Linked DNA regions of Schizosaccharomyces pombe. The protein of the gene in region 1 purifies or fractionates together with the protein of each later gene. This does not show direct contact. Each region holds a gene or a part of one and is shown on either strand. Other genes may lie near its edges.

What was found.
Region 2: the proteins of uaf2 (region 1) and bpb1 purify together in Schizosaccharomyces pombe (affinity purification with western blotting; one study listed by BioGRID). This does not show direct contact.

Annotation. Positions count from the first base shown.
Region 1 is NC_003424.3:5,323,549-5,327,029, forward strand, and holds uaf2 (U2 auxiliary factor small subunit Uaf2), read left to right. Parts: upstream 1-2,045; 5' UTR 2,046-2,062; coding exon 2,063-2,713; 3' UTR 2,714-2,887; downstream 2,888-3,481. Other genes in the region: ski7 (ski complex-interacting GTPase), read left to right, coding at 1-735, 776-860, 898-1,258; SPOM_SPAP8A3.07C (phospho-2-dehydro-3-deoxyheptonate aldolase), read right to left, coding at 3,172-3,481.
Region 2 is NC_003421.2:555,719-560,523, reverse strand, and holds bpb1 (zinc finger-splicing factor Bpb1), read left to right. Parts: upstream 1-2,275; 5' UTR 2,276-2,318; coding exon 2,319-2,349; exon of another isoform or gene 2,350-2,395; coding exon 2,396-4,128; 3' UTR 4,129-4,283; downstream 4,284-4,805. Other genes in the region: SPOM_SPCC1672.01 (histidinol-phosphatase), read right to left, coding at 1-8, 183-309, 426-457; XP-G family protein ast1, read right to left, coding at 4,324-4,805. UniProt on the Schizosaccharomyces pombe protein: Necessary for the splicing of pre-mRNA. The BPB1(SF1)-u2af59-u2af23 complex has a role in the recognition of the branch site (5'-UACUAAC-3'), the pyrimidine tract and the 3'-splice site at the 3'-end of introns.

The DNA.
Region 1 (3,481 bases):
AAATTGGATCATTTGATCCCAAAACCATGCAAAAATGTACAGTACTGAATGCCAAAAAAGAAAGTTTGAGCTCAGTGCTAAAGTCCACCAAAACGAAATGGTATGATTTTGAAACATTTTCCAACAGTTACTCCTCAACTATTATTGATTTTCCTTTAGGAATCTTCACTACTAATGCAAGTTCTCGAGATAATTTTCTAAAACATTCAAGTTTGTTTCAAGTAATGAACACAGCCATTTTCACCATTGATTGTCTGAATCCTTTGGAAGGTCTTGATGGAATATCTTCCATTTTACAATTGATGAATGGCTTATCTATTTCAAGCTATATGTTTGCTATCACTAAGATGGATGAAATTGAGTGGGATGAAAATAAATTCATTAATCTTGTTAACTCGATTCAGAGCTTTCTGAAAGAAAGTTGCGGAATAATTGAGAAATCAAAATTCATTCCGATAAGCGGACTAAAAGGAACCAATCTTACATCCATTAGTCAAGAAAAATTATCCCAGTGGTATAAATCTGATACATTGCTTGGCAAAATTGATAAAGAAGCAGATACAAATCATGGCACATGGAATTTTCTTCTTAATCTACCTCTCTCTTTAACAATTTCACACATTACTCCTTTGCCAGAAAATCAATCACATATTTACTGTAGCATCCATTCAGGCATGCTTCAGGATTCGCAAAAGCTTTATGTAGGCACAGGGAGATTAGAAACACAAATCACAGGTACGGAAGGTGTTCAATTATTTTATGTTAATCAAAAAAGGACTGAGCAGTGATGAAAATCCCAAAGGGTTTAATGTTGCTGGGGATATGATTCAAGCCAAAATCCCTACATTACCCAATTTATGGTAAGTTCTTTGCAATTCTTGTATTTCTAATAAATAGTCCTGGGATTTTAATTGCTGATAGTATCGATGCCTTTACTTCTTCGAAAACTGCTTACGTTAATGCAACTTGGTTTCACGGTTCTCTTGAAAAAGGAAAGTCGATGCATGTAATAGCCCTATTCGGCTGTCACGCAGTCCTTACCAAACTGTATTGCTTTACAGACAGTCAAGAAAAAGCTCCTAACGCAATCGGAAACGATCTTGAAAGAAATCGAACCTCACTTGTGAAAATTGAATTAGAGAATGCTTTCCCTCTCGTAAAAGAAAGCTACATTAACACCTTAAGCCGCGTTTTATTCGTTTCAGAAAAATGGAATAGCTTAATTGCGTTTGGAACAGTACTATCTCTGCATGACTGAATCCCTAACTTACGTATTATACTCAACTCCATATTAATTTTGCATTCGAAAAAATTTTCCGTCCTTTTTAAAGAAATTCTCTATAGATTGTTTTAAATATTGTAAAACTACCGATGTTGTTCATTTGCGTACATCTCAGGCATCGTGACATTTGGAAACAATTTGTTCTCGAGTAAATTTCCTGAGCAAAAAAAAGGAATGTGCTGTGTTAAGAATAATTTATCTTTTTTTCTTTTGAATCGTTGGCACATCAGTCTAATAACAGTAACTACTTATTCTTGATATTTTCCAAATTCGAATATAATTAGGGAAATACAAGGGAATATCTGTATATCGGATAGTTGTAAGCTACGCAGTTTGGTATCTGATTTAAGGATACGTAGAACTGTGGTGAGTTTTCCTTGTGATCTATTATATTACAATACACAGGTTATATAAGTAGCAACTGAGTATAGGTATTGTATTAACTGGGTTATAATGTTACCTATCACTAATATAGCTCATAACTGAACTGAGGAACGAGGTTCAGCAGTAGCTCTATTTATAGTATTCAGATAATATAGATCTTAATAGATTATCATTAAGATCAATCTCCATATCGTATCATACATGGTACGATATATAATTAGAACATGTGACATATAGTGATACGCAACGTAGTGTATCATAGCGTAGTGTAGTACTGCTGACAATAGTGTGCAAGAATAATTTAGAAAATTTGCGTAACTTAACGAGATGTTGCACGCCACCATTATAAGACTAGAATCATGTTGGATCACTTTATTTCATAACCACCATATAAAAATGGCAAGTCATTTGGCAAGTATTTATGGTACTGAGCAAGATAAAGTCAATTGCTCATTCTATTATAAAATAGGAGCTTGTAGACATGGGGAACGCTGCTCTCGTAAACATGTCAAACCAAATTTTAGTCAAACGATCTTATGTCCCAACATGTATAAAAACCCAATTCATGAACCAAATGGCAAAAAGTTCACGCAGCGTGAACTTGCAGAACAATTTGATGCATTCTACGAGGACATGTTTTGTGAGTTTTCAAAATACGGTGAAGTTGAACAATTAGTCGTCTGTGACAATGTTGGAGATCACTTAGTCGGAAATGTTTATGTAAGATTCAAGTATGAAGAGTCTGCCCAAAATGCTATTGATGATTTAAATTCCCGATGGTATTCCCAAAGACCAGTCTACGCCGAGTTATCTCCTGTAACTGATTTTCGCGAGGCATGTTGCCGGCAACACGAAACTTCGGAATGTCAGCGGGGTGGCCTTTGTAATTTTATGCATGCCAAAAAACCAAGTCCTCAGCTTTTACGCGATTTGGTACTAGCACAAAGAAAGTATTTGGCCTTAAATGCAGCAGAAGAAATGAAAAAGGAGCCCAATAGTGATTCCACGAATCGATGGGTCAGTGTAACTGCTGAACGCAAAAATTAAATAGCAACTTATGGAATGTATTTGTTTTGGATTCTGGTTTGCTTTTGTACGGTTTTACTTCGTTTATTATGATTAATCTCTGGCTATAGTTTGTTGTGATTTAGGTTATTTAAATAGATGTTGCATTCTTTTATTGTTTACTAATAAACTTGATCTTTGTACAACTGTACTCATAGACGTTTTAAATTTTGTGTCCAATGTGCCTATGGCTGATTACAAGCTAAAGGAGATCGATTAGAAACATATGAAACGATCAAACATTTCGCAAAACTTGCACAGCAATTCTTAAAAACGAAGGTGTTATTGGTAGAAGCTGTGTACGATATAAGAAAAAAAAAACAAAAAAAAATAAATAGAACCCGTATTTAAGCCAAAATTGTTCAGTTGTTGTATGTTACGAAAAAATAAGTTTCAAAAATTAAAAAAATTAAAACTGCTGAATATAACATTTATATGTCTTAATTACTTTTTTGGTTTTGACGGCGAGCACGGACAGCTTCAGCAAGATCGTCTAGCATTGGAGCAGTTTGTTCCCAGCTAACACAAGCATCAGTGATACTGACACCGTACTTGAGAGTATCCTTAACGCCAGGACGGATTGGAGCATCTTGACGACCTTCATTGATATGAGATTCAATCATAACACCAACAATGGAAGAGTCGCCATTTCTGATTTGTTCGGCGATGCTCTTGGAGACCTTTGGTTGGTTCAAATGATTCTTGCTTGAGTTGCCATGAGAGCAATCGATCATGATACGAGGAGGAAGG
Region 2 (4,805 bases), on another chromosome or scaffold:
AGATGTAGCTAAATGAATCATAGTTAGCAGTCCATCGTAAAAGCATTTTAATACAAGAGTAATATCATATAACAAAGCTCAAATGTAACATGAAACTTAGTCCCGACAATTCATTTCCAAAACTTGAAATGACCTATAAAATAATAATAATGTTTCACACATCATCCTGCAAGCACACTTACTTCTTCGGGATATAAGTCTTCAACTCGATCTCTAGGGGTATGTTCTGTAAATGAAAACGATTGAAAACCTTGTTGTATGGCTTCCTGAATTACATCTTCTAGTTTGCCCTGGGCATGCAAACAAAATCTTCAATAAAAGTTAGTGGTTTGTCACTGAATAAAAGAAAAAAAAAATTCATCTGTAAAATCTCAGGCAAACACATCAACATGTATCGCTTGTTTACAAATTAAAAGCAAACATACTGCCCACTATGAGAATGACTAGAAATTGGCATTATTATGATAATATGTAGCGTATTTGCAAAATTGAACCGAAAAAAAAGAATGAATATCGATGAAGCTGAACTGTGTTAAAATTGGAAATCCAAAACAGAATTGAGAAAATTCGACAATGCACCAAAGACTATCCAAAATATTTATCTAAATTGATTCCCAACAAATACAATCCAAGCTATCTATAAAACGACAAAAGTAAATATTTTCGCAGTCGACCGAAAAAATGGAATGATAACTATAAATTTCAGATAATTAGTTTAAATTAACCCAACCAAAACTTAAAGATGCATTAGCGTCTTACCAAACGAAAAATCCAGAATTATATCAACTAACGGCTCAATACCAAAATGCGAATGAATGTGGGAAATGGATGAAACAGACGGAACGAGCCGTAAAAAAATTGGGAATCAAATTTTTATAAGAGATCTAACGAGTTACTGGAATGCCTTTCTAACGAGCCGGTTGTTTCGATCACTCAGCGTACCGGACATCTTTTGGAATCAATTTTTGTTAACGACTTTTTTCAGCATATGGTGAAGTGCGGTATTCCCCAAATTCGAACTTTCACACTAGGTTCTGTGGTTTGATAAAATGCAAGCAGCTTGATTCATTTACGAAAAAATTACGATCCTGACTCTGCTTCTTTCACACAGTAAAACGGGTCATATTGGAGTTGTATGAACATTTGGCAAAAACGTTTCTTAATGAAAATCAGATCCTTTCCAATGTTCCTAAGATGTTATGGTATCATGCATTTTTGAGTTTGATAGTAAAGAATTAAATTAATAGAATTTAAACAAAGCACTAAACACACTGAATCCTTATTTTTCTTCATGAGTAAATTTTTCTCTAGGCAAATTATCTGATCAGATAAGGAAGGCTTGCATGCCGAGTGGTGGAATGTCGCTTGGAATATGAAAAAAAGATTGTATGCCCGCAGCCTGTTTTACAAAAATGTTTCTCATTATCAACTAAAACATAAGTACTATTTATCATTCCAAAACCAATTTCTTTTAATTTCGATTCTGGTTTCTCAATGTAAACCTTGCTGGATTTCGCTATAATTCCAACCCAAGCTCAACAAAATGGTCATGGGCAATAAGAGTTTGCACTTCCATCTAATTATGAACCAAATTCAGAAAAATATCAAAAATTTTTCTACTGACTTATTCTTGAGCATTACTCACCCTCTAAAAACCTCCTATCTATTGTTCGATACAAAATAAGGATATGCCTGTATACTGGTATTACAATATAATATTACAATATTCTCTTTTACAATTCCTATTCGCTTAACTTTGATGCTTGAATTATTATTTAGCGAACTCTAAAGTATGTTTTAATCGCAAAAAAAAAGAAGAATCAACGCTTTACCCTACCAAACAGAGGTGGAACTCTCCATCATTGTCTGATTATTTTTTAAGAAAGATGAATGTTTCCATATCATATCTAAGCCGTAATCCGCCAGTCTCGTTTCTGTAAATCCAAATTGCAATGATGCTTAAAGCTGTTTATAATAAAGTACGTTAGATTTATTTAGCGCAATGAATAGAGATACACTAAACCGATTTAAGATCAATAACTGAATATCGAAACAAGTGCAAGAACTGCTTGCTGTATTGTTAGAAAAAAAAAATTTCGGTTGAACTTATCATTGACTGAATAGTCTCATTTGAAAATTTATTCAAGTAATTATACATTTAATTCTTTTTTAGCGAGACGGTTATTGCACTCGTTTGTCTCAAACGTGTCGTATCTTCAGTTTCGTCCGTTACTTTATTGCCTCCTTGCCTCCTACATTTCAGTCGTTACTTTTCACCAAGAACCAACGCCCGTCTTCGATCTAGCAGTCTTATTAAAATGCTGAATTCAAGGTCAGTAGGGTCTACTGGTAAGTGTTTTAAGAGATTATTAGTGCAAATTATTAATATTTTTAGGTTCGAATAATACTCCCTTAGGAAGGAGGCGGTTTGACGAAAAACCAGATTCTTTACCACCATTGCCTGATGCAAATGGAATGAGTAATGGTTATCGCGATTCTTATAAAAGCAATTCCAGAATGGATCATAGACCGGATGGCTATCACGATGGTCGAGGTCGTCGAGCTTATAGAAAACATTATTGGGGTCATCCAACCCCGATTGAGGAAATGTTACCAAGCCAAATGGAGCTGGAAACTGCCGTTAAATCCTGTATGACTATGGAGCAATTAGAATTATACTCTTTGAATGTTCGATTGGAAGAAATTACGCAAAAGCTTAGAACCGGTGATGTTGTTCCTCATCACCGTGAACGGTCCCCTTCTCCTCCTCCGCAATACGATAACCATGGTCGCCGATTGAATACTCGAGAAATCCGTTACAAGAAAAAGCTAGAGGATGAGCGTCACCGGATTATTGAGCGCGCAATGAAAATGGTGCCAGGCTTTCGTGCTCCCAGTGATTATAGAAGACCTGCAAAAACACAAGAGAAGGTTTACGTTCCCGTTAAGGATTATCCAGAGATTAATTTCATCGGCCTCCTGATCGGTCCTCGTGGCCACACTTTGAAGGATATGGAAGCAAAATCTGGAGCCAAAATTGCTATTCGTGGTAAAGGAAGTGTTAAAGAAGGAAAAGGAAGAAGCGATCCATCTGTCCGAGGTAATATGGAAGAAGATTTACACTGCCTTGTTACCGCAGACTCTGAAGATAAAATTAACCATGCCATAAAACTAATTGATAATGTTATCCAAACGGCCGCTTCTGTTCCAGAAGGCCAAAACGACTTAAAAAGAAATCAACTTCGTCAGCTTGCTACTCTTAATGGTACTTTACGAGACGATGAAAATCAGGTTTGCCAAAATTGCGGTAACGTGGGTCATCGTCGTTTCGATTGTCCTGAACGTATCAATCACACAATGAACATTGTTTGTAGGCATTGCGGAAGTATTGGCCATATTGCTCGCGACTGTCCTGTTAGAGATCAACAACCTCCAATGGCTGATTCTACTGCTGATCGGGAATATCAAAGTCTTATGCAAGAGCTTGGTGGGGGATCGGCTATTTCCAATGGTAATGGTGAACCCCAAAAATCTATTGAATTTTCCGAAAGTGGAGCTGCTAGTCCTCAAGCAGGTCACCCTCCACCTTGGGCTGCTGCGTCTACTTCGGTATCTAGCAGCACTTCTAGTCCTGCTCCTTGGGCCAAACCAGCTTCATCAGCCGCCCCTTCAAATCCAGCCCCTTGGCAGCAACCTGCTGCTCCACAATCTGCCCCTGCCCTTTCTATGAATCCAAGTTCACTACCTCCTTGGCAGCAGCCAACTCAACAGTCCGCTGTACAGCCTTCTAATTTAGTACCTTCACAAAATGCGCCATTCATCCCTGGTACTTCTGCTCCCCTTCCACCTACTACATTCGCTCCTCCTGGTGTGCCTCTGCCACCAATTCCTGGGGCGCCTGGTATGCCGAACCTGAATATGTCTCAACCACCCATGGTTCCACCTGGAATGGCTTTGCCTCCTGGCATGCCCGCACCATTTCCTGGATATCCCGCTGTTCCTGCTATGCCTGGTATACCTGGTGCAACAGCTCCCCCTGGTGCACCAGGCTCATACAATACGTCGGAGTCCTCTAATTTAAATGCCCCACCCGGTGTTTCAATGCCAAACGGATATTCCAATCGATAGAATATATGTATTTGTTAATAGTTTGTCGCATATTATAATGAGGTTGAAAAAAAAGGTTTATGCAAGCCAATTGCTTCTTTTAATTTTTACGGTTTAAAAGTATTCGATATATGTTTTGAATTTAATTCATTAATTTTATAACGTGTTTCCCAAAAAATTTTGTTTGATTGTAATTCATGTGACAAAAATGTATATCTATGATTGATCTTTTTTAGTCTTGCGTTTCCTTTTTGGTTTCCAAATATCCATTATCATGTAAATATCAGAGTAATCGTTCGTGAGGTCTTTGTACATTTTATAGGTTAATGAGGCAGTAGTTTTATCTGTAACAATGCTTAGTGGGCTTTTACCTGTCTTCAGCTTACTTGCTGCTTGGTGAAATAAAGCAAAGTTTAAAGTGCTTGATAGAGGGCTGAATGAAACAAATTCCTGAAAACTAATAGAAGACTGTTCCTTGTCTTCACTGAATATCAACATACATATCGAATATATTGTCGCTATAAAACGAGAAACGCTGGCAATGTCCTCTTGCGTAGGTTCCACCGGCTGCAAGTTCATAGGACTACCTAAGAATAGACTTACATGCATTAAGAGGAAACTGGTAGCTGTAATATTGTTTAAATTTTTCATACACCGTAAAGTCCATAGTACTAGCCTGTGCGGTAAATTCCAGTTAG